Linked DNA regions of Oryzias latipes. The protein of the gene in region 4 purifies or fractionates together with the protein of the main gene of each other region. This does not show direct contact. Links are inferred from orthologs where the notes say so. Each region holds a gene or a part of one and is shown on either strand. Other genes may lie near its edges.

Region 1 (3,515 bases), on a different chromosome or scaffold from region 4:
TGTATATGTTGGCTAAGAATAAACTGGATTCCAAGCATTTTGCTCAAACCAAAAAAATCTTCCTTCTGTGTATAGTCAGAGCAGTTCCCCGTATTACCAAGAACAGGCGGATGTATCTGAGAAGACCTTAAGTGGTCTGGATTCAGAGAAATGATATGAGAAACCTCAAATGACTTCCAAGCCAAAATATTGTTTGTGACTTGTAAAAGTAAAAGCAAAGGTATCTTGCATGATTTGTAATTCAAATTAAAGTTACTTTTATCTATAAATAGTACAAAAATAAGAAAATAAAAAAGGAATGAAAATGTATTTATTTATTTTTTTTAACTTAAAAATCCAAATATAAAAATGAAAAGAAAAGCAATTATATAAAGAAAATTATTTTATTAATTCAATTTTTGAAATTCACCAGACTTCAGTTCAGTAGTTTACATATTGCAACACAAGTGTACAGTTCAAACTTTGTAATCTAACTCAGTAAATACCTCCAATCATTTTATAGGATACCCACTTAAATCCTTCCAAATGTTGACTTACAGCTTCCTAATTGTTCAAATTAGTTTGTTTTTAATGTAACTTTATCCAGTTTTTGGCTACTACTTTTATACTATACTTTGCCATGTTTTTTGTAATATTTTACAATCACTGATGTCAAAAATCTTTTTATTGTCAATAAAAATCTCTCTTATATTTATTTTCTAAAACAGTCCAAATAGTTTAAATGTATATAAATAAGTGATATTAGGTATAACCTGTCTGATCTTAATCCAATTTAAAACAAGTTACTTATTATTTATTTGTAGACAGAATAAAGCAGCTTTCTTTCTGATAATTATCTGACACTGTGAAAAGGACACAAGCGGAAACTGAGGTTTTTAGAGGAGTTTGTCACTTTGTCCTCACTTAATGACCCACTACAAGGGTCATTAAGTGTGGTTCTGTGTTTGGAAAACATGTTCTTTTACTATTTTACTCATGATGGAGGATATGTATACAGAAAATGAAGATTAAAACTGTATTTCTGAGTATTTCTTTAGTCAAATTGTTGTGAATTAGGGGCAGTCGAGAAATGCAGTTTAATAAAAGCCTGTCGTTGTTGCGTACAAACTCCAGTCGGCAGACCACAAGCTCCCTGCTCTGCTCCATTCTGATTCATCCACATGCATCTTTGTTTTCATCGTCTGGGCTGGCATCTGGCTCAGAACTGTGCGGTTGGATAGCTCTGATATTGCTTGCCATTTTTGTTGCACCGCTAATATTAGCTTGGGGTTTTGAGGGGCTGTAAGCTAGCAGGGAAGAGTGTAAGCCAAAGGAATGATGGGAAATAAGCATTGACTTGCTCCCCTCCAACAGTCCTACCCACAGCTCAGAACTACTGCCGCTCTGCAGAAACTATGTCCTAGAAAATGACACAATTTTTAAAATTTTGGCTAAAAACAGCATAATCATAATTAAAAGACCACTAGGGACGGTTTTGAAATAGATCAAAGGATGATCAGAGTGGGACTTTATCTTATTTTAATTGAAATATCTGTATTTTAAAACTTGATGTTTGTGTTGTGAAGCAACCTGACTGGGAGTTTCTGGAGGGCCAAGACATGTCGGGTCCACGACAAAGTCAGCTACAGCTTCCTTTGCCCCCAGGCTGGGAGGAGCGACAGGACAATTTGGGAAGAATTTACTATGTCAACCATGAAACCAGAACCACACAGTGGCAGCGACCCACAATACAGTAAGCCGGTGACCGTGTCTCATTGTTTTCTGTTAGGTCCATTCTTTGTGAGTGGTAATGTTTATATCTCTTGAACAGAGAAAGCCAACGCAGACTGAGCCTCTATGCAGATGGGGCACATACCTACATAACACGTAGGCAGATCTCTGAGCCTGATGAAAGTGCCCCCCAAGAGCCCTCTGAGGTAAAACGGCTTTGCCCTTTTCACTTCATCCTGTTCTTCTTTCCATTTTGTTTCGGAGAATGAGTTGATTTTTTTAAAGCTGGAAGTCAATGTTTGTAGTTAAACAAATAAATGAGCTTATTAAACCTCACTGTTTGTAAAAGCAAAAAACTGTCTTTCAAATTGGCTGAGAAATTATTAGGTCTTGAGCTTGAAGTGTCCTCTCACTCATTTGGCAGAGCTGGGAGATCCTTGGAGCAGATGAAATCCAAGCAGGAAGACGCAACAGTTACCGGCTCAGATCCCCATCACCCCAGGAACCGGCAGAATTCCACTCCTTCTGCGATGAGCTCGGAAACATTCATCTTTCACGATCCCCTACTCAAAATCACTGCATGTCTCAGATGGTCAGTTGTTTTCTATGCAGGATGTGGTTCCTGTTAGGGATTGCTAAAAAATTTGAATCAAAAGCAAAACAATTTCAGTAGTAAATGTCCTGTAAGCTATAAAAAACTTACCACCAAAATGATCTTTGACGTGCTCTGCTTCCTTTGCTACAGAATCACTTAAGTACCTCAAGACATTCCAGCATCAGTGATTTTCAATCTTCAACTGACGAGGAACAGCCAGTTAATCCTGTGGTGCTTATTTCTCTTTTAATCTGACCTGTTTTATATCATTTTTCTAAATTATCACTTCAGCTTGGTTTTTTTCTTGAACTAAACTACTACAATGGTTGAGTTTAAGTTAGTGTTTTTTCTTTCCTTTAAAAGTTGCTTCCAACCTCAACCGGGTTGCCTCCAGGTTGGGAAGAGAAGAGGGACAGTAAAGGCAGACGCTACTATGTCAACCACAACACCCGAACAACTTCATGGTCCAGACCTGTTGTTCAGGTACACGGTTATTCTTCTTACTTACCCATTTATATTTTATCTCTTGTTCTGTTTTTCACTCATTTTTAAATTAACTTTTCAAGATCATGTGTGTAACATTTTGTAGGTTTAACCCTCTGGATTTTTTTGATCATCGAGTCAATGTGAAACTTAGAAATAAAAAATTAATGATTTTTTCTTTTTTTATATCTGAAGTTTTTGAAATGGAAACCCTAACTACAATATTTCTACAAGCTCTAAAAAGCCAGTTTCTGAAACATGTGTGTTCCTGCTTTGTTGCTTAATTGTAGTAGCCTTTTTTCCAAAACACATTCTCAAAGATCTCACTTGCATAGAATTGTGAAAGTGTATTTGCAAGTTGTGGTTACTTCATCCAGTGCATTTCTCTAATGTAAAGCACTTTGAGATGTTGTGCGACAGGAAAGATGCTCTCTAAATAAAGTTGCATTTCAAATTTGTAAACAGTAGATATTTTTCTGTTAGCCATTGAAAACACAAATAACTCTGGAAAAAGTGTATTCATTTACTTAAAGAAAGACCACAGCAACACTATTAAGTAAAGTTGACTGTGACTTTATTATTTATTTTAGCAGTATGTAAGTAAATGTCTCAGTTTTTGTGGTTATCGACCAAAATCTAAAATCTTGTTGCCTGTCTATACTATGCTTCAAACTCAATATATTTTCTCTCTTTAATGCACAGAGACCCTCAGACGCAGCAGGGCCAG
Region 2 (4,072 bases), on a different chromosome or scaffold from region 4:
ATTCGCGCCCCGCCCATTCGCGAATACGGGGGGATTACTGTAGTGTGTATCTTTAGCAGGAAATATAGAGATCTACTCATACAGTCATCACAAACTCTATTTTTACGACCATTTTGTCCTTCCTTGCTAGGATAGGCTCCAGCAACACCTTGACCCCAGAAGAGATAGAGAAGGTTCAGAAATTAAACAGATGGACGGGTGAATGGATGGATGAGTCAATGTAGGATTGGGTCAACTGTGTCTTAAAATATGGATTGATTATCTTCCAACTGTTTTAACTTGCACCACATCACCAGTCGTGTTACCAGTGTTTGAGCACAAAACCACGCCTCTTAATTGTTTCCCTCAATTCAAAAGTTTATGGTCAAAGTTCTGCTATTCTTATCAGACAGTTACTGATGCATTGGCAGAACTACTTCAATTTAAAACATTTTCATTCATTTAGTTCCCGTTGTTTGTTTTTGGCATCTTTGGTTGTTAAATTCTGATTTTTTTCATGAGTTAGATCTCTTAGATGTTTTCTGCTAAGGTACCTTATATATTATTTAACCCCTAAAATTTGCTTTGGTTCCAAGACAGCATCTGTAGTGACTTTTCAGTTGTCTTCAGTTGCCTGTTTTAAACCTCAGTAGTCTCTGCACTCACTGGTGAGTTTGCCAATCACACAGGCTGTTTAAAATGACGTAGGAATGGCATTGACGCCCCTATTAGGATCCTTTTCATTCAAAATGCAATGTGAAGGTTATGACACAAATTTGTGATGCCCCTTGGAATAAATTCTTGGAACTTTGAGTGAAGCTATGCCTAATGTTTTTGGGACATATTTCACATTATTTTGATTTTGTCTTTGCTTATTTATTGATTTATGCATTTGTGAATTGTCTCTAGACGTTTTGTCTTTGTTATAAAACACAAAACTGATCCGAATTTTGCAGTCAAAAGTGACAGATTTTTTGTATACTCTGAATTTAGAATTTTGGACAGTTTCAGGTTTGTTACAGACTTATTGTGTAATACAATGAAAAATATTTTTAAGAAAAAGAATCTGGGGTTATACTAAAAATTGATATCAAGCATTGCCCCAAGAACTGTATTAAAGATAAATTATTTGAGCAAATTGTAAAGAAGAAACTAAGATTAAAAAGGCCCTGGTTAAAGAAAATAGATTGTTTCTGTTTTGTTTGTTACTTCACGCAGTTATTTTTTTTCTTGGCTTGTTTGACCATTAAAACGGTCATTAGGGGTGATAAATCTGAAAAGATTGTGAGAAATTGCTTTCCTTTGACTGTCAGAGAAGACACAGAACTCAAAGGGGTCATCTTCGTGATAGACGATCTCTAGACGTAAAGTGGAAAGTTCTACGTTGTGCGCATGCGCTCCCCGGGATTAATGTCAGGGCACAAAAGTGGCGCTACACCGTTTCAAGATCTTCTCCGGTAAGCGATCCCCCCAGCCTGTCCATATATTCCACTTTCACGCCAAATTGCTCAAAGTTTTGGGAACTTGTGGGGGTTCTGGCGGCATTCCTGGGAATTCTCTTCAGAGCCAGCCCGAAAGCAGCATTCATATGAAAGGCTTTATTGGTAGTTACATTTTTACAGACATTTCCCTTTACGCTCCGTGTGCTGTGACTGCAGCCGCCTCCAGGCTCCACAGTATTGTTTAGTCGGCTCCCTAATGGCGGACGGCGGGCACTGGCGTTTTCCGCTGTGAGGTGTGCAGGGAGGGGGCAGATTTGGTGTGGTCGGGGCTTGTGGCTTACACCTGGCGTTCAGCAACAGGAAACCGCTCCAAAAATGATGCGTGCGTTTATCTGGGGTTTGTTGTTGACACAATTGAAGCTTGTTCATGTAACGGCAAAGGGAAGGGCGCCCCTTCCGGCGACCGGGTGTAAGTGCAACTGATTGCGCTAGGGTGGACTCTGCAGGGTAACTTTCCAATTAAAACCCCGGCTTCTCAGGTATCCTAGAAATCAGTAATTTTCAGCTGTGTCAAATACTGTAGTTGATACCAATGGCACGTGCCGGGGCGAGAAGGGCAAACTAAGCGACTGAAGAGGTTTTTTTTTTTTTTTTGGGTGAAAACAAACGTCAGCAGACGCTCGGAGTTGCGTTTTTAGCGCGTGCTCTGACGTGTTCGAGCTTTTTTTTGGGCCACATTGTCACGTATTTGAGTCAGTTGCGTTCGTTTTTAGAGGCGTTTTAACAATGGCGCAGTCTGGGTTTGCTCTCCTCCCCTCGGTCCGCCGCTAATCCAATGGCTGTTTGCGCCAGGAAAGGCAGGGGTGGGAACGGAAAACCCTCAACCACGTTTCCAATGAACCCCAACTTGGGAGCTCAACCCCCCCCACCACCACACACACAAACGCACGCTCGCGCGCGCATGGCTGAAAGAGTTGCGCAGCTCACGTAGCTGTTTTTTTTTAAACAAAAATATTTTCTTTGAAAGTTGTGGAGTTGGGTTTTATAAAGGTAATAAAAAAGAGGAGGGGTGACAGGCGCCGAGTGAACCGGGCGCCTGAATCTGATTCGGTGATTCCTGAACTGTATCATTAATCAAGGGCACGCTTCCCAGAAGGCTTTGCGCGCTTCCAATCCTCGGTGATTTTGTAGTTTCTCCTCAGGAAAGCCGCGTGGAGGGTTTTTAGTGCGGCATTTTGCTACCAGGTAACCAGAGGGGGCTGTTCTTGAGCCCATCAGCTGGTTGGGGGGGGGGGGGGGCAGGACATTATGCATCAGTGACATAAGCCTTATATAATAACCTCATTGGAATACGTCAGGAGTATTCTCCTCTGGTGCAAACAGCTGCACATCTCCACCTTGTGACCTTCTAGGAGAAACAGCTGGAAAGGCAGAGCAGCACCTTTGAGGTGGTGATGTGGCGCAGGCCCTGTGTGTTATTGCAGGGGGGCAGTCCCTCCACAGCTCCGGCCCACCTTCCTTTCCACCTGGTGTTGACATTGGGAGTGGGGTTGCATGTCAGAGCTAATTAATGCTGGATCCTCGTTTTTCCTCGCAGTCACGTGAACGCAACCTTCCTCCCAGCTCTGCATTGCAGTCTGGTCTCGGTCTAAACCAGGCTATTTCCCTCCATCAGAGCGCAGAGTCCTCAGCTGGTGGGATATTAGGTCAGAAAGCTGGATGGGAGATGCTGCTCATGCAGGAGAGCAGATCTGGGGATTCTTACGGCATTTCATCATTGTTAAGTCCAAAAATATCAAATTTTCTAAATCTCTGGACATCAGCAAAGGTATTGGCTTCCAGAGAGGAGCCTATATGAAATAAATGCTATGGACTTCCATCAGGTTTTTGAACAAATGCATTTATCTTTGGGGGTTTTCTGCTTCTTGTGCCTCCTGTCACTTGATCAGAGACTCTTTCCTCATTTGGCTTCACTGTCAGGCAGAACCAGCCTGCTGTTGAAGGTTTTCACTGCAAAGTTAAAGACCTACTCTGATGAAAATTGCGTTTTTGGTATTCTTGTGGTGTTTTTCTCACGATGGAAAGCTCAAAATTGCCTTTCTTAGTATTTCTTTATTCAAATTGTTGTGAATCAGGAATAAATGAAAAAATGCTACAGCGAGTCACACGTTCCCTTCTCCACTTTAGTGTAATGCGTCCACTTGCTTCAATATTGCTTGTCATTTTTGTTGCACTGGTAATGTTAGGTTGGGGGTGTGAGGGCTGTAAACTAGCAGGAGAAAGTGTAAACAGATAGATGATGGGATGTGGGAGCAGGCTTGCTCAGCACCAACAGTCCTGTCCACAACTCAGAGGTGAATTTCTAACGAACTACTGCCGCTCTGCAGAAACTGTCTTAAAAGACGACACCGCTTTTTGATTTTGACTAAAAACTGCACAATCATTTAAAGACCACTGGGAACGCTTTTGCAAAAGATCATGATGGGAGTGGTTCTTAAAGATTGTTTTACTCAAGAACAGCATTTCGAATTAGATTAGATTCAATTTATTTAGAAAATTGAATAAATACATCACATATGTAAACATGATTTATTCAAAAATCAATTTAGGATCTTATAGCCCTTGATTGGATTTAGTTAGCAGACCCAATG
Region 3 (3,515 bases), on a different chromosome or scaffold from region 4:
AGACAGAAACGTTGATGGTTTATTTCAAAAACGCATTGAAATACATTTCTTTTGGGGCAAAAATGGTCCAGACGCAATGCATTGTGGTCTATATTCGCCGGTCTAGTGAGCATCGATGCACACTGGTTTTTCGCAGAGACTTCTGGGAAATTTCTATGGCACTGGATTTTGGAATTGTAGATTTGGACAGCACTACAAAATGGTGAACGCGCTAAATAGTGAGTAGGGAAGGAACACAACCAAAAAAAAAATAACACGCGCCGACACGCTACATGTTAGCCCCGTTAGCTTATTCCCCACACATGTAACCTCCTTAGCTTCACATAGAAAAACAAAGGAATAACGCTAAAACAAGCATTATTGTGACCACACTGAGGCCCTACCTGGCTGGTAATACTGTAAAAAAAGAACACAGTCTGACACCGCTACACGTTAGCCATGTTAACGTGTTCACAATAACACCCAACCTTGAGTTCAACTCAGAAAACAGACCAACATTCTGACAGAGCGTCACTTCAACATCAGTTAATCCGTACATGGATTATAGTATGGAAAACACTGTATTTAATTATGAATTAAAGCTCGGGGACAAAACATGATTGTAGGATGTGGCTGGGTTGATAAAATCCGAGCTCAATAAATCGGTAATCGATCAATAAAAGTAGCGATCGAGAGATCACCTAAGACATTTTAAAACAAAATATAAAGAAAATGAAATCTTTTCAAGGATCCAATAGTTTCTCAGTCAGTCTCTCCCCCCTCGTCCATCATCAGGAGACCCGCTCGCGCCCTCCATGGCGACGCAGCCCAGCCGTTTCCCCGACTACCTGGACACCATCCCCGGCACGGACGTGGACCTGGGCACCCTGGAGGGGGAGAGCATGGCGGTGGAGGGCGAGGAGCTGATGCCCAGCCTGCAGGAGGCCCTGAGCTCCGACATCCTCAACGACATGGAGTCCGTGCTGGCAGCTACCAAGATCGACAAGGAGAGCTTCCTCACATGGTTATAGAGGAGGCGCCATCCTCCACCTCCTCTTCCTCCTCCTCCTCCTCTTCCTCCCTGTGCTCTGAACTGCCTGCTCTCATCCTTAGAAGGGTTCATGGATGCTTTTTACCAGACATTTCAGCCAACCTTTTTTTGGGACTTGTGTGAGACTCCGCCCCCTGCCCCCCCCCTCCCCTTTCAGGCAGTATTCCTCCTCTCTGGTGTTTTTAATTGTGTCTGTGTCTTCAAGGCTGGCCTATGAACAGACAATTATGCAAAGCGGCCTCCTCGTGGATCTGGAGCCCGCTTCTACCTTCAGCATCTTAACGAACTCGCGTTGGCGACGACCGGGCGCCATCTCTGCCGCAGTGTAGCGCCGCCTGCTTTCTAACCAACCTGAGAAACCAAAAATGATGTATTTGGAGAACAAGAAACAATACTGATTTGGAGTAAAGGTCACAAGAGGCCCCGGTTGGACATTTTGGCAGGGGGAGGGGGGCGTTCAAACGTAGGGACCGACTACACTGCTGCTTGGCTGTGCCAGCAAGTCTAAGTTAAACCTTTTTGATAGATCAAGTGCCTTCAGTTGTATTTTTTTTTTCTTTTCTTTGTACTTTTTTTAAAGATGCGAGCAACTCGAAGAATTACTCTGCAATATGAAAGCATCTGGCGTTTTTTTCTTTTTCTTTTTTATCATATATATATATCCGCCTTCTAGTGTTCAGCAATCACAATCTAGTTTTCAACAGAATTGGGGAATCCCTTTTTAACCCTTCGTATGTCGGTCTTATTCAGGCCTAACTCCCAGTTTTAGTCGTTTTTTTTAGTACTTTTTTAGCTTATTACATGTGTAGCTTAGTTCAAACTGCTTGAGTTTTACTGTCGTGGATGAACTGTACCATTTTTAACACAGTCTGTTGTTGAGATTTATTCTTTTTTTGTTTTACTTTATATACATATATACATATATGTATTATTTGTGTTGTACTATTGTTGATCACAAAGCGGCTTTTTTGCAAAACATTAACCAAAAAGGCTTTTTTTTTGTTAAATTTAAATTTCAGAAACTCTTCCTCCGATTGCTTCCAGCTTGCAATGTTTTGTTTTTTTTAAATTGCAAGTTCTGAAGCTGTCTTCCTCTAGAGGGCGCTGTGGCCTCTGCGCATTGAGGGTTCAAAAGAAGAGGTTTGGTCAAGCGGGTTGTAAAGAAAGTCACGTCAGGAGCGGTGTAGAGATGTGGTAGACGAGATTTGATTCGATTTTTGTTTGTTTTTTGTTTCTTCCGTGAGTTTGTAACCCCGGAACAATCGAACAGCACGGTCAGGAGCAGTCGCAGCAGATTCCAAAGACGTTTTCTCGTAACGACACTAACATTTAGTTTTGGTTCCCATAAATCGGCTTCTGTACGAACAAAACTGTATAAGCTAACCAGATGATTTGTGTGTTTTAAGGTGTTATTGGAGATGTCTAAAGAAGTTTTTCCTCTCTTTCTGTTTGTAGGTGGTTGTTTTGAGTGACTAATAACCCTAAACGTTTTTTTTTTGTAAGATGAGGCCTCAGAACAGAGGAGAAAGCGTTTCTCCCATCAGCACTCGCATGTTTACATACTTTTGGGGAAACTGCTGCAGCAGCAGTGGAGACGACACACTCTCACAGTTGTTTTTTGATGTTTACACCGTTGCATCCCTGCAGAAGAAGCAGTCTGCCGTGCACGTCCTTTGGTTTAAGCCGCCGGAACACTCTACGTATATGTACATAGACATACATATATGTTTTTGTTTATTTTTAAGGACTGTTGTCTTTCATTGTTTCCTGAGAACCCTTTTTAATTGATTCTAAATCACATATTGATGGATTGATGGACAGTGTTGGTGATAACAGTGCAGCAAAAGGGGCGGGACACCACGAGGCGGCTTTAGGTTTTTCATTCAAATGCAGAGATGTCACTGAAAAGCTGATTTTTAATGCTTAACTTAGTGTGTACTTGTCAGAGCATTACTAGCTGTTGACTCACCGTAGCAGTAGAACTAATCAAAAAGTTAAAGGATTTTGTATTTAGAGTTCTCTAAATGCACATGAAATGAGTTTGTATTCAACAAAGACTGTTCATTTTGTTTTGATAGATATGTGCATGTGTTTTAGAACAATAAATCCTGTTACATTATATACCTTTCTTCATATGATACTTTGAAATTGGCCTCAAATAAAGTATATACTTTGTGGTAATCCTTACTTGTGTGAATGGTTTTCACATTGGAACTATTTTTTCTGATTGTGTAAAATGAATATATATATATATATATATATATATATATATATTTTCAGTTACAAAAGTGTTCTGTAATTTTACTTGTTTTTTGGAAACAAATAAATAGGTGCGCATTTTTGTTAAGAACTAAAAAAATAAATGTAAAGTATTGCAGTGGTATAAATGTATAATAGTATAGAGAAAAGTTTATTTACATACCAATTTGGTTAATGATGGTCATGAAATTATTTGTATTTTTGTGAGTAAAAGATAATTCTATTA
Region 4 (4,061 bases):
TTAGTTTAGAGGAAAAAAACAGCTAAAAAAGATAAATCTGATAGGATGGTGGAAAGTAAAAATTAAAAGGAGAAAAGTCTGTTCCTGCGTATTTGGCATCACGTTTAGATTTGGACGTTTTGGATATCGAGAGGAGGAAACAAGCATCTCTGTGCACCTGCAGCTCCAGCTGCTGATGTGAGACGACAAGTACAGTTTCAGCCAGGAAGCACCGCTAAGACAACTTAGCCCTCAGAAACGGAAAGAACATTTGAGTTCCTGCAAACTTTAGAAAGATGAGAAAACTGTTGTTTTTCTGTGGCAAAAAAAGAAAGAATTGTATTAAACATTTACAATAAAAATCCCATTGATTGAAACCTTTACCTTTGATCAGTCTGAGGCCAACGCTGTCCGTGTTTGTGAGGATGAGTCCAACATGAATCCAATTTAAAGGCTCACTCTGAGGAAAACGGTGTTTTTAACATGTTATTGTGGCATTTTTCTGATGATGAGGACATTTATGGTAAGTGGAGTGCCCTCATATACCACTTTCCTACCCTCTCAGAAAGCCAGAAGCACTTAACAGTCACACTCGCCCACACACACACACACACACACACACACACACACACACACACACACACACACACACACACACCCACACACTGCTGCTGAACACTGGCATCAACCTATGACCACCAGCAGCAATGTGAGGTTCAGTGTCTTGCTCAAAGACTCTTCGGCACATGGGTGGGAACCGAACCTGCAGTGTTCCGATCAGAGGTCGACCGCTGTACCTCTGCTCCACAGCCGCTCCAACCATTTAAAGAAAAATAAAATAAAAACTACATTTCTGAGTATTTCTTTATTCAAGGAGGGGAAGGGTAAGAGTGCTATTAAAAAACAACAAATGAGGAACATTTGTTTTTCTCAAAATACTCCAGAGATTATGAAATGTTTTTGGTTATTTCCTATAGTCTTGCCTTGGTATTTTGTTTTATTTTATTAACATTTTATTACTAAATATATAAATATAAAAGTTATTTGCCAACATGATTCTTGAGGTTTTAACTAAAGTAACTTATTTTCTCTTTTTAAAGGATCATATTACAAACATTTTATGAATAAAGTAGCCGGCCTAACACCAAAACTGAACTTTTTTGGTTTAAAATTAACATTTGTAAATTAACATTTGTAAATTAACATTTGTAAATTAACATTTGTAATATGTTTTAGATAAAAGCAGGAGCACCTACTAATGCAGATATATGTTTATTTTATGTTTTGTCTTTTTTCTACATTAAGAAACTCCATCATTTGCATGTCCTGACAGGAACTGAGTTGCTTTTAGCTCCTTCTCAGTTTCATTTAGTTATTTATTTTCAGGTTAAACTTTGATCAAACAGGAAGGCCTGCTGTGGAGTAAGGCGCCTGTAGTGAGGACACACCTGTCTGCATTCAGCGCTTCTACGTCCAACACCTAAAAAGCTGAAAGGTGCAGAACCCACCTTCCCGGCTGACGTCACAATCCAAGACCCATAGAACCAACCAAGTCCCACTCGAGAACGGAGATTAGAGTCGGATGACGTCACAGTATCAAAAAGCACCTGTGGCAGGTATGACCGTGAGGGGATTCCGGTGAAGTTTGTGGGTCTGTTTCTGAGGCAGAATCGACTCATTTGTCCGTTAACGTTTGTCCCTGAGCTCGCGGCTGGGATTCGGAGGAGGTCACGGTGACGTCACAGTCCCCGTGGAGGGCGGAGAGCAGCTCGCGGCAGCAGGTGAGCGCGCGGCAGAGCGGAGAGCAGAGCCATGGGGAAGCTGCAGGAGTTTGACATCTTCTACACCAACAACAAGGTGGTCTACGGTCCGGGGGAGTCCGTCAGCGGGGTCGTGAGGATCCGGACCAGCAGCGCGCTGCATTACAAAGGTACGGGGGAGGGGGGGGGGGGGGGTGCTGGGCTGCGCGCGCTTCCGCTAGCGGCGCCTGTGCATCACTCAGTCGGTGAGGTGAAACTTTTGCCTCGCGACGGTGCAGGGATGGGAGCGCGCGGCTGAAAAGCTGCTGTTGTAAAGTTTCTGCTAAACGAGCGAGCCTGCTGGGACGGGCTGTTCTTTAGCGCGGATGAATCTCCCAAAAATAACAACAAGCGATCAGGTGGTGGTGGTGTGTGTATGTGTGTGTGTGTGTGTGTGTGTGGGGGGGGGGGGGGGTAAGGACACCGGAACTTCTGAATTCTGGGTTCAAGGGGAAACTCGGTTCATGTAGTGTAAAAGAACGAGTCCGTGCGCACTTCCTACAGGCGGAGGGTCTGTCTGTCTGTCTGATAGTTTTTTGTTGGTTTATGATCGGCTCTCCTCTTTGTGCTCTTCTGTGTTGGGCTGCGTGATGCTCTTTAAAATACCAGCTCCACATTGTAACTTTTTGGCATTCAGAGACAAGCCCATATGACCAGCACTCCACCACCATGCCTGACAGATGGGAGGCAGAGATTTCCCCAAAAATTGTTTGAGGACAGAGACGATGTGACTCAAGCTGAACCTGAAGCTCAGTCTGCAGGTGTCTTTTAACCCCCCATCCTAGGAGGTTACCTAACTGCTTTTTACTCAGTTTGATGCATTTGCCTGATTCTGACACAATAATTATTTGAAATCAAAACCCGGAAATATAGAACAGACAGAGTGAGCTTTCTAAGACATCGGATTCCTTTTTAAGATCTTTCTCCCAAACCTGTAGTCATAAGGAGGATAGCAGGTTGGAGGAAACAGAGGGTCCATTGTGTGAGGTGACCCTGGTCAGACTGAGGCGCCCCTCAGTGGCAGGCAGGTACAAAGCCCCTGCCACCAACGGGGACTGCAGGGACGGAAATCCAATGATGGAGCTTTTCTTCATGGCGGAAAGTCCCGAACTGCAGAGGGATCGTCTGTTACGACCTGATCTGAGGCCCACCACTCCGTTCACTGCAGGAGGAGTTGATCTAAAACTGATGCATTTGATGTGCTGTGGCAACATGGAAAAGACCCCCAAAAGAATGATTTACTTCAGTTATAGCAGCTAAAGCTGCTTGATTTGAACAAAAGATTGAAGAGAATCTTACTCAAGCCGCACATGGATACCAAAGATCACTGTTGTCGGCTAATCCAGTGGTCCCTGGGCTGTGGACCAGTACCGGTCCGAGGGACAGTTGGTAAAAGCACAACCTACCCCCCCCCCCCCCTCATTTTATTTATAATCTGATTCTGAAGGAAGTTTTATTTTGGAACACTACTGGGTTCTCTCCACCACATCCAACTCGTTCTTGAGTTGGATGTTCTGGATTTTGACTCGGTCACGTGTACAAAACCCTAAAGCGGCTGCCGCTAAATTGAAACTCCAAGCTAGCAAAATAACCAAAAAACGTATTTGGAAAGTTCCAGTGGGGAAACAGAGGAAGAGCCTTCAACTTCAAAATAAAAATAAATCTGCATTTAAGACAGAAACTAGGAGTCTTTTCTCAGAAAAGGATTTATTGTTATTTTTTTTCAATAATGCAGAATACTCATCAACCAGCTGTTTAATGTTATGGATATCATAGGTCTGATTCGCATATTTGGTTTGGCAAAGACTTTACATCAGATTCTGTTCCTGACACAACCCTCTGTCTTTATCCGGGCTTGGGACCAGCACAATGGGACCCTGGCTTGGGCCCCGTCGTGGCTACATTTCATTTGGAAAAACAAAACCCAAACATTTATTTCAAATAATATTTTAAATAAAGTCCTTATTAACTATCTAAATCCAAGGTTTTACTCCCATCATAGTGTATTCCAATGATTTTTATGCTTTCTGAAAATAAACCTGGTAACTAAACAGGAAGTTTTTTTTAATACTTTTGTGATTTTTTATTTATGCCAACAAATAGAAATATCAATCTGCTGGGATTTGAGAAGACAGAAAATAGACAAACACCAGATGATCTGTGTAAGACAAAACCGCCAAGTCAGTAACTGCAGCAGTGGGAGAACAGAGAGCAGATAAGCATCAAATCGCTGCAACATCTGTTTAAAACAAACTGCAACCATGACCCTGCAGTGGAGCAGAC
Region 5 (3,515 bases), about 17 Mb from region 4:
CATCATCTGTAATTTAAGGGCCTAGAAGCACATCAGATTCTTTGCTATGTTTATATGTATATATATTTTTGTTGTAAATTCATTGTTCAAAAAACAGCTTTTGAAACCAGCAGCAAGGCCTCCTCACCTCCAACTCGTTTTCATCAAAGATCTTGATCAGATCAATCTGGATGAGCTCAGTGAAGCCCTGGAAAATAAACAAAAGCAGTTTTGTCAACATCATGTTTTATCCAAGAACCAAAGCAGCAAAATTACAGAAAAAAACATTATGTAACCGATCAACATAATCAAGCCAATTTGAATTACGGTAGACAAAATGCATTTAGGAACTTGTTTTCCACACTGCCCCCATGTGGTAGTAGTTATAAGTGCAGACAGGTACCTCCAAGAATGCATTCATCTGCTTCTGGACCCGGTTGACGAATCTCCACTGAATTACCAGGCTGAAAGGAAAAGAACAAGTGAAGTTTTTTTTTTTTTTTTTAATACAACAGTGATTTGACAGATTTCCTTTTTCATAGAGAAATGGTTAAACATACTCTATGTACTCCTTTTTGTTGTCATTGGTAACCACCAGTTCTGAGCCACTGGGCTTCAAGTCCACCTGGTAGGTCTGAGGGGAAGCAAAACGGTTTAGACACAATTCATATAAGTTTAAACGTCTAGAGGTCAAAAATAGTGATTTCAGATCTTCACACCTGTCCAAAGTTGTCCTCATCTATACAAAACCTCAGGTCAAGTTCAGTGGGATCGTTCTCCAGAATCCACTTCAGAGAGTTGTAGTATTCACTGTCCTGCAGGCGATGGACACAAACAGCTTCCTTTACTCTGCCATTCTTTACATTTTAAAGTGTCACAAACCGTTCAAACCAAAGGATCCAACATCACTGGTGACGTGACTGCAGCCCACAACACAACAAGCCAACCAACATTTTTTATCATTTCTTTCCCTTAAAGTGTATAGTGCAGGGGTCGGCAACCGGCAGCCCCAGAGCCGCATGCGGTTATTTCCTCCCTGTGATGCGGCTCTCTGTGTTTGTGTAAAATAACTATCATGTTCTCAGATTGTCGTGGTGTCTTTAACACCGTCGGGTAGAGCGAGCATGAAGAAAGGAGGATGAAGAGAGCAGCGTGAACGCGCAGAGGGGGCGTGTCTGCAGCTGTGAACGCCAACCAGGGTCTGTTGTGGGATGGAAAGTTTTTCTAGAAAGAAAGTCAGTGGCGATCTCGTAGGGGACAAATGAGCCCCCCCCCCAAAAAAAACCCTTTTTCACCCTAGACTAAAACCACCCATTTCCGCGTAAAAAAATCAATTAAATTTGCGTTAGGGCGCCCCTACTATCCTGTCACCTTGCTGTATGTTGCGCTGTCTGTGTAGAACACGCTGGAGGGGGGGTTGCACGCGGGGGAAAACAACGAACAGGTAGAGAGGCGGGGGCGGGGCTTAGACTCACAGCTGCTTCCTAATAAAAATAGTTGTCATCCATAAAATTAATATAATTTATTGAGTTTACTGGATTTAAATCAAAATCAAAATAGACAGGAGTCTAAATCAAATTGAATTTTTTTCCATCATCTTAACTGTGGGTGTTTGACAGACAGAAAAGTCTATTCAAGATTGTGGAAAATGGACAAAAGATCAAAAGAAACAACACGCTCATAAAGAATAAAAATAATTAAAATAAATAATTAAATAACTATCCTGACAGCATTTTGAATCAATACAAGTATTGCCAATTGAACTATCGTGATATATCGGCAAAAACATTATTCTAACACATCTAGTGTTGCGGCTCCCTGTGCTTTCATCTCAGTGGGAAACTGATCCGAATGGCTCTTTGAGAGGTTCAGGTTGCAGACCCCTGGTCTAGTGCTACAAGGAGAATTTTCCTAAAAAATAACAATTAGATAAAGATTATCTCAATCTTTATGATATTTACTTATATTTCATTATATTTTAGAAAAAAAAATTGTTTTAGAGGATTCTCTTTTGAAATAAGAGACTAAAAAAAAAGAAAAGAAAAACTAAAATTGGAGGAAGCACCTAAGAAGAGGAAGTATGTGGGACTCATTGAAAGCAAAACAAGTGTGCAGAGAGGGTCCAAAGACATTTTGCAGAGAGATAAACAACAACAGTCTCACTGCAGAGGGAGCTCTTACCACAGACTCCATGTCTTTAAGCGAGATCGATTTTCCCAGCATCATCTTGTAAAACGGCCTTATGAAAAAACCTGCAACAATATACAGGAGGAGTGTCATATGGAACTCTGGGTAAAAGAGTATCATTAAATATGCTATAAATTAGGAGGTAAAAAAACTCAATGGTGAATAATAAGCTTTAATGATAAAAGTTTAAACATTAAGACAGGAAATGATTAATAATATATATGTATATACACACACTAGGGCTGCACGATATGAAGAAAACACGCGATATGCGATATTGGTGATTAATATTGCGATAACGATATAATTTGTGCTATATAAACTAATATCAAACCAACCAAAAACATCATTTCCATTTCAATGCAACAGTATAAAAATTATACTCCAAATGACCCTTGTCGACAAAGGAGGCAAACATCAAACATAAAAGGACTCATTTGATTGATCAACAATGTAAACGGGTCCTTCCGATTGGTTAAATGCATAAAGGGATTTATTTCATTTATTCAATATTTCAAGCTGCCATGAGTTTGTTTTAGCACATTTAACCCTTGTGCTATCTTAGATGACCCCCCCCCCCTTACTTTGACCTGTTCTCCCTACCATGACAAAGGTGGATAAAGGTGGAAAGATTTCATGTAATCCATGGACACCAGTGAAGATCACAAATCATTGAAGAAAAAAGGTTCAGTGCACTGTCTAGTGGGTCTAGATGACCCCACTCCCAATGTTAAATGGCCTAGGATAGCACAAGGGTCAAGGTAACCATTCATTGCGATTTTCGCTGTCTTTTGCGGTATGCATATTGCACAGCTTGATGTCGCGATAACGATAAATTTGCGGTATATTGTGCAGGCCTAACACACACACACACTTCTTTTTTCCGGATATTTTAGTGTAAAAGGCTGTGTCAAAGATAGCCTATTGAACGAAGCCACCTACCATCTAGAAGCTTTCCGTGAAACACAGCCATGCCTGCCACACGCCCAATGAACTTGAAATAAGAGAGGTGATCTTCATTGCACAGACCAGAGTTGGGATTAATTTGGAGAGTGTAGTTATCTCTAAATTCAGAAGAAGAGAGAAACAGAATAAAAACTATTCTCGACAGCCACCAGGTGGCACACTTTGGAACAACGTAGGCAAGTCCTTCATTGAGTTTCAACAAAGTAACAAAGCCAGGATTTTAAGAAATGTTCATTTTAAACCCAGGAATTAGGCTCTAACTTACATTTTTACATATCTATAAGTAATTAAACATTATATCGGGTTGAGACTAATATAGAAGTAAATTGTTTTCATTATAAGGTGCGTGGGAAAAGTTTGTTACAGGATGACTTTTTGAATAA

What was found.
Region 1: the proteins of arrdc1 (region 4) and nedd4 purify together in Homo sapiens (affinity purification with mass spectrometry; 3 studies listed by BioGRID and IntAct, counting the BioPlex papers as one, with this or other methods). This does not show direct contact. The link is inferred for Oryzias latipes from reciprocal best matches to the Homo sapiens genes ARRDC1 and NEDD4.
Region 2: the proteins of arrdc1 (region 4) and zmym2 purify together in Homo sapiens (affinity purification with mass spectrometry; 3 studies listed by BioGRID and IntAct, counting the BioPlex papers as one, with this or other methods). This does not show direct contact. The link is inferred for Oryzias latipes from reciprocal best matches to the Homo sapiens genes ARRDC1 and ZMYM2.
Region 3: the proteins of arrdc1 (region 4) and yap1 purify together in Homo sapiens (affinity purification with mass spectrometry; 3 studies listed by BioGRID and IntAct, counting the BioPlex papers as one, with this or other methods). This does not show direct contact. The link is inferred for Oryzias latipes from reciprocal best matches to the Homo sapiens genes ARRDC1 and YAP1.
Region 5: the proteins of arrdc1 (region 4) and nedd4l purify together in Homo sapiens (affinity purification with mass spectrometry; 3 studies listed by BioGRID and IntAct, counting the BioPlex papers as one, with this or other methods). This does not show direct contact. The link is inferred for Oryzias latipes from reciprocal best matches to the Homo sapiens genes ARRDC1 and NEDD4L.

Annotation. Positions count from the first base shown.
Region 1 is NC_019861.2:21,578,348-21,581,862, forward strand, and holds part of nedd4 (E3 ubiquitin-protein ligase NEDD4), read left to right. Parts: intron 1-1,565; coding exon 1,566-1,732; intron 1,733-1,810; coding exon 1,811-1,916; intron 1,917-2,134; coding exon 2,135-2,302; intron 2,303-2,455; coding exon 2,456-2,536; intron 2,537-2,668; coding exon 2,669-2,788; intron 2,789-3,490; coding exon 3,491-3,515. UniProt on the Homo sapiens protein: E3 ubiquitin-protein ligase which accepts ubiquitin from an E2 ubiquitin-conjugating enzyme in the form of a thioester and then directly transfers the ubiquitin to targeted substrates. Specifically ubiquitinates 'Lys-63' in target proteins.
Region 2 is NC_019879.2:11,194,419-11,198,490, forward strand, and holds the start of zmym2 (zinc finger MYM-type protein 2), read left to right. Parts: upstream 1-1,260; 5' UTR 1,261-1,436; intron 1,437-4,072. UniProt on the Homo sapiens protein: Involved in the negative regulation of transcription.
Region 3 is NC_019871.2:6,517,347-6,520,861, forward strand, and holds the end of yap1 (transcriptional coactivator YAP1), read left to right. Parts: intron 1-774; coding exon 775-1,010; 3' UTR 1,011-3,211; downstream 3,212-3,515. UniProt on the Homo sapiens protein: Transcriptional regulator with dual roles as a coactivator and corepressor. Critical downstream regulatory target in the Hippo signaling pathway, crucial for organ size control and tumor suppression by restricting proliferation and promoting apoptosis.
Region 4 is NC_019870.2:26,762,316-26,766,376, reverse strand, and holds the start of arrdc1 (arrestin domain-containing protein 1), read left to right. Parts: upstream 1-1,255; 5' UTR 1,256-1,791; coding exon 1,792-1,909; intron 1,910-4,061. UniProt on the Homo sapiens protein: Functions as an adapter recruiting ubiquitin-protein ligases to their specific substrates. Through an ubiquitination-dependent mechanism plays for instance a role in the incorporation of SLC11A2 into extracellular vesicles.
Region 5 is NC_019870.2:9,948,436-9,951,950, reverse strand, and holds part of nedd4l (E3 ubiquitin-protein ligase NEDD4-like), read right to left. Parts: intron 3,231-3,515; coding exon 3,109-3,230; intron 2,232-3,108; coding exon 2,161-2,231; intron 795-2,160; coding exon 699-794; intron 614-698; coding exon 540-613; intron 444-539; coding exon 383-443; intron 188-382; coding exon 128-187; intron 1-127. UniProt on the Homo sapiens protein: E3 ubiquitin-protein ligase that mediates the polyubiquitination of lysine and cysteine residues on target proteins and is thereby implicated in the regulation of various signaling pathways including autophagy, innate immunity or DNA repair.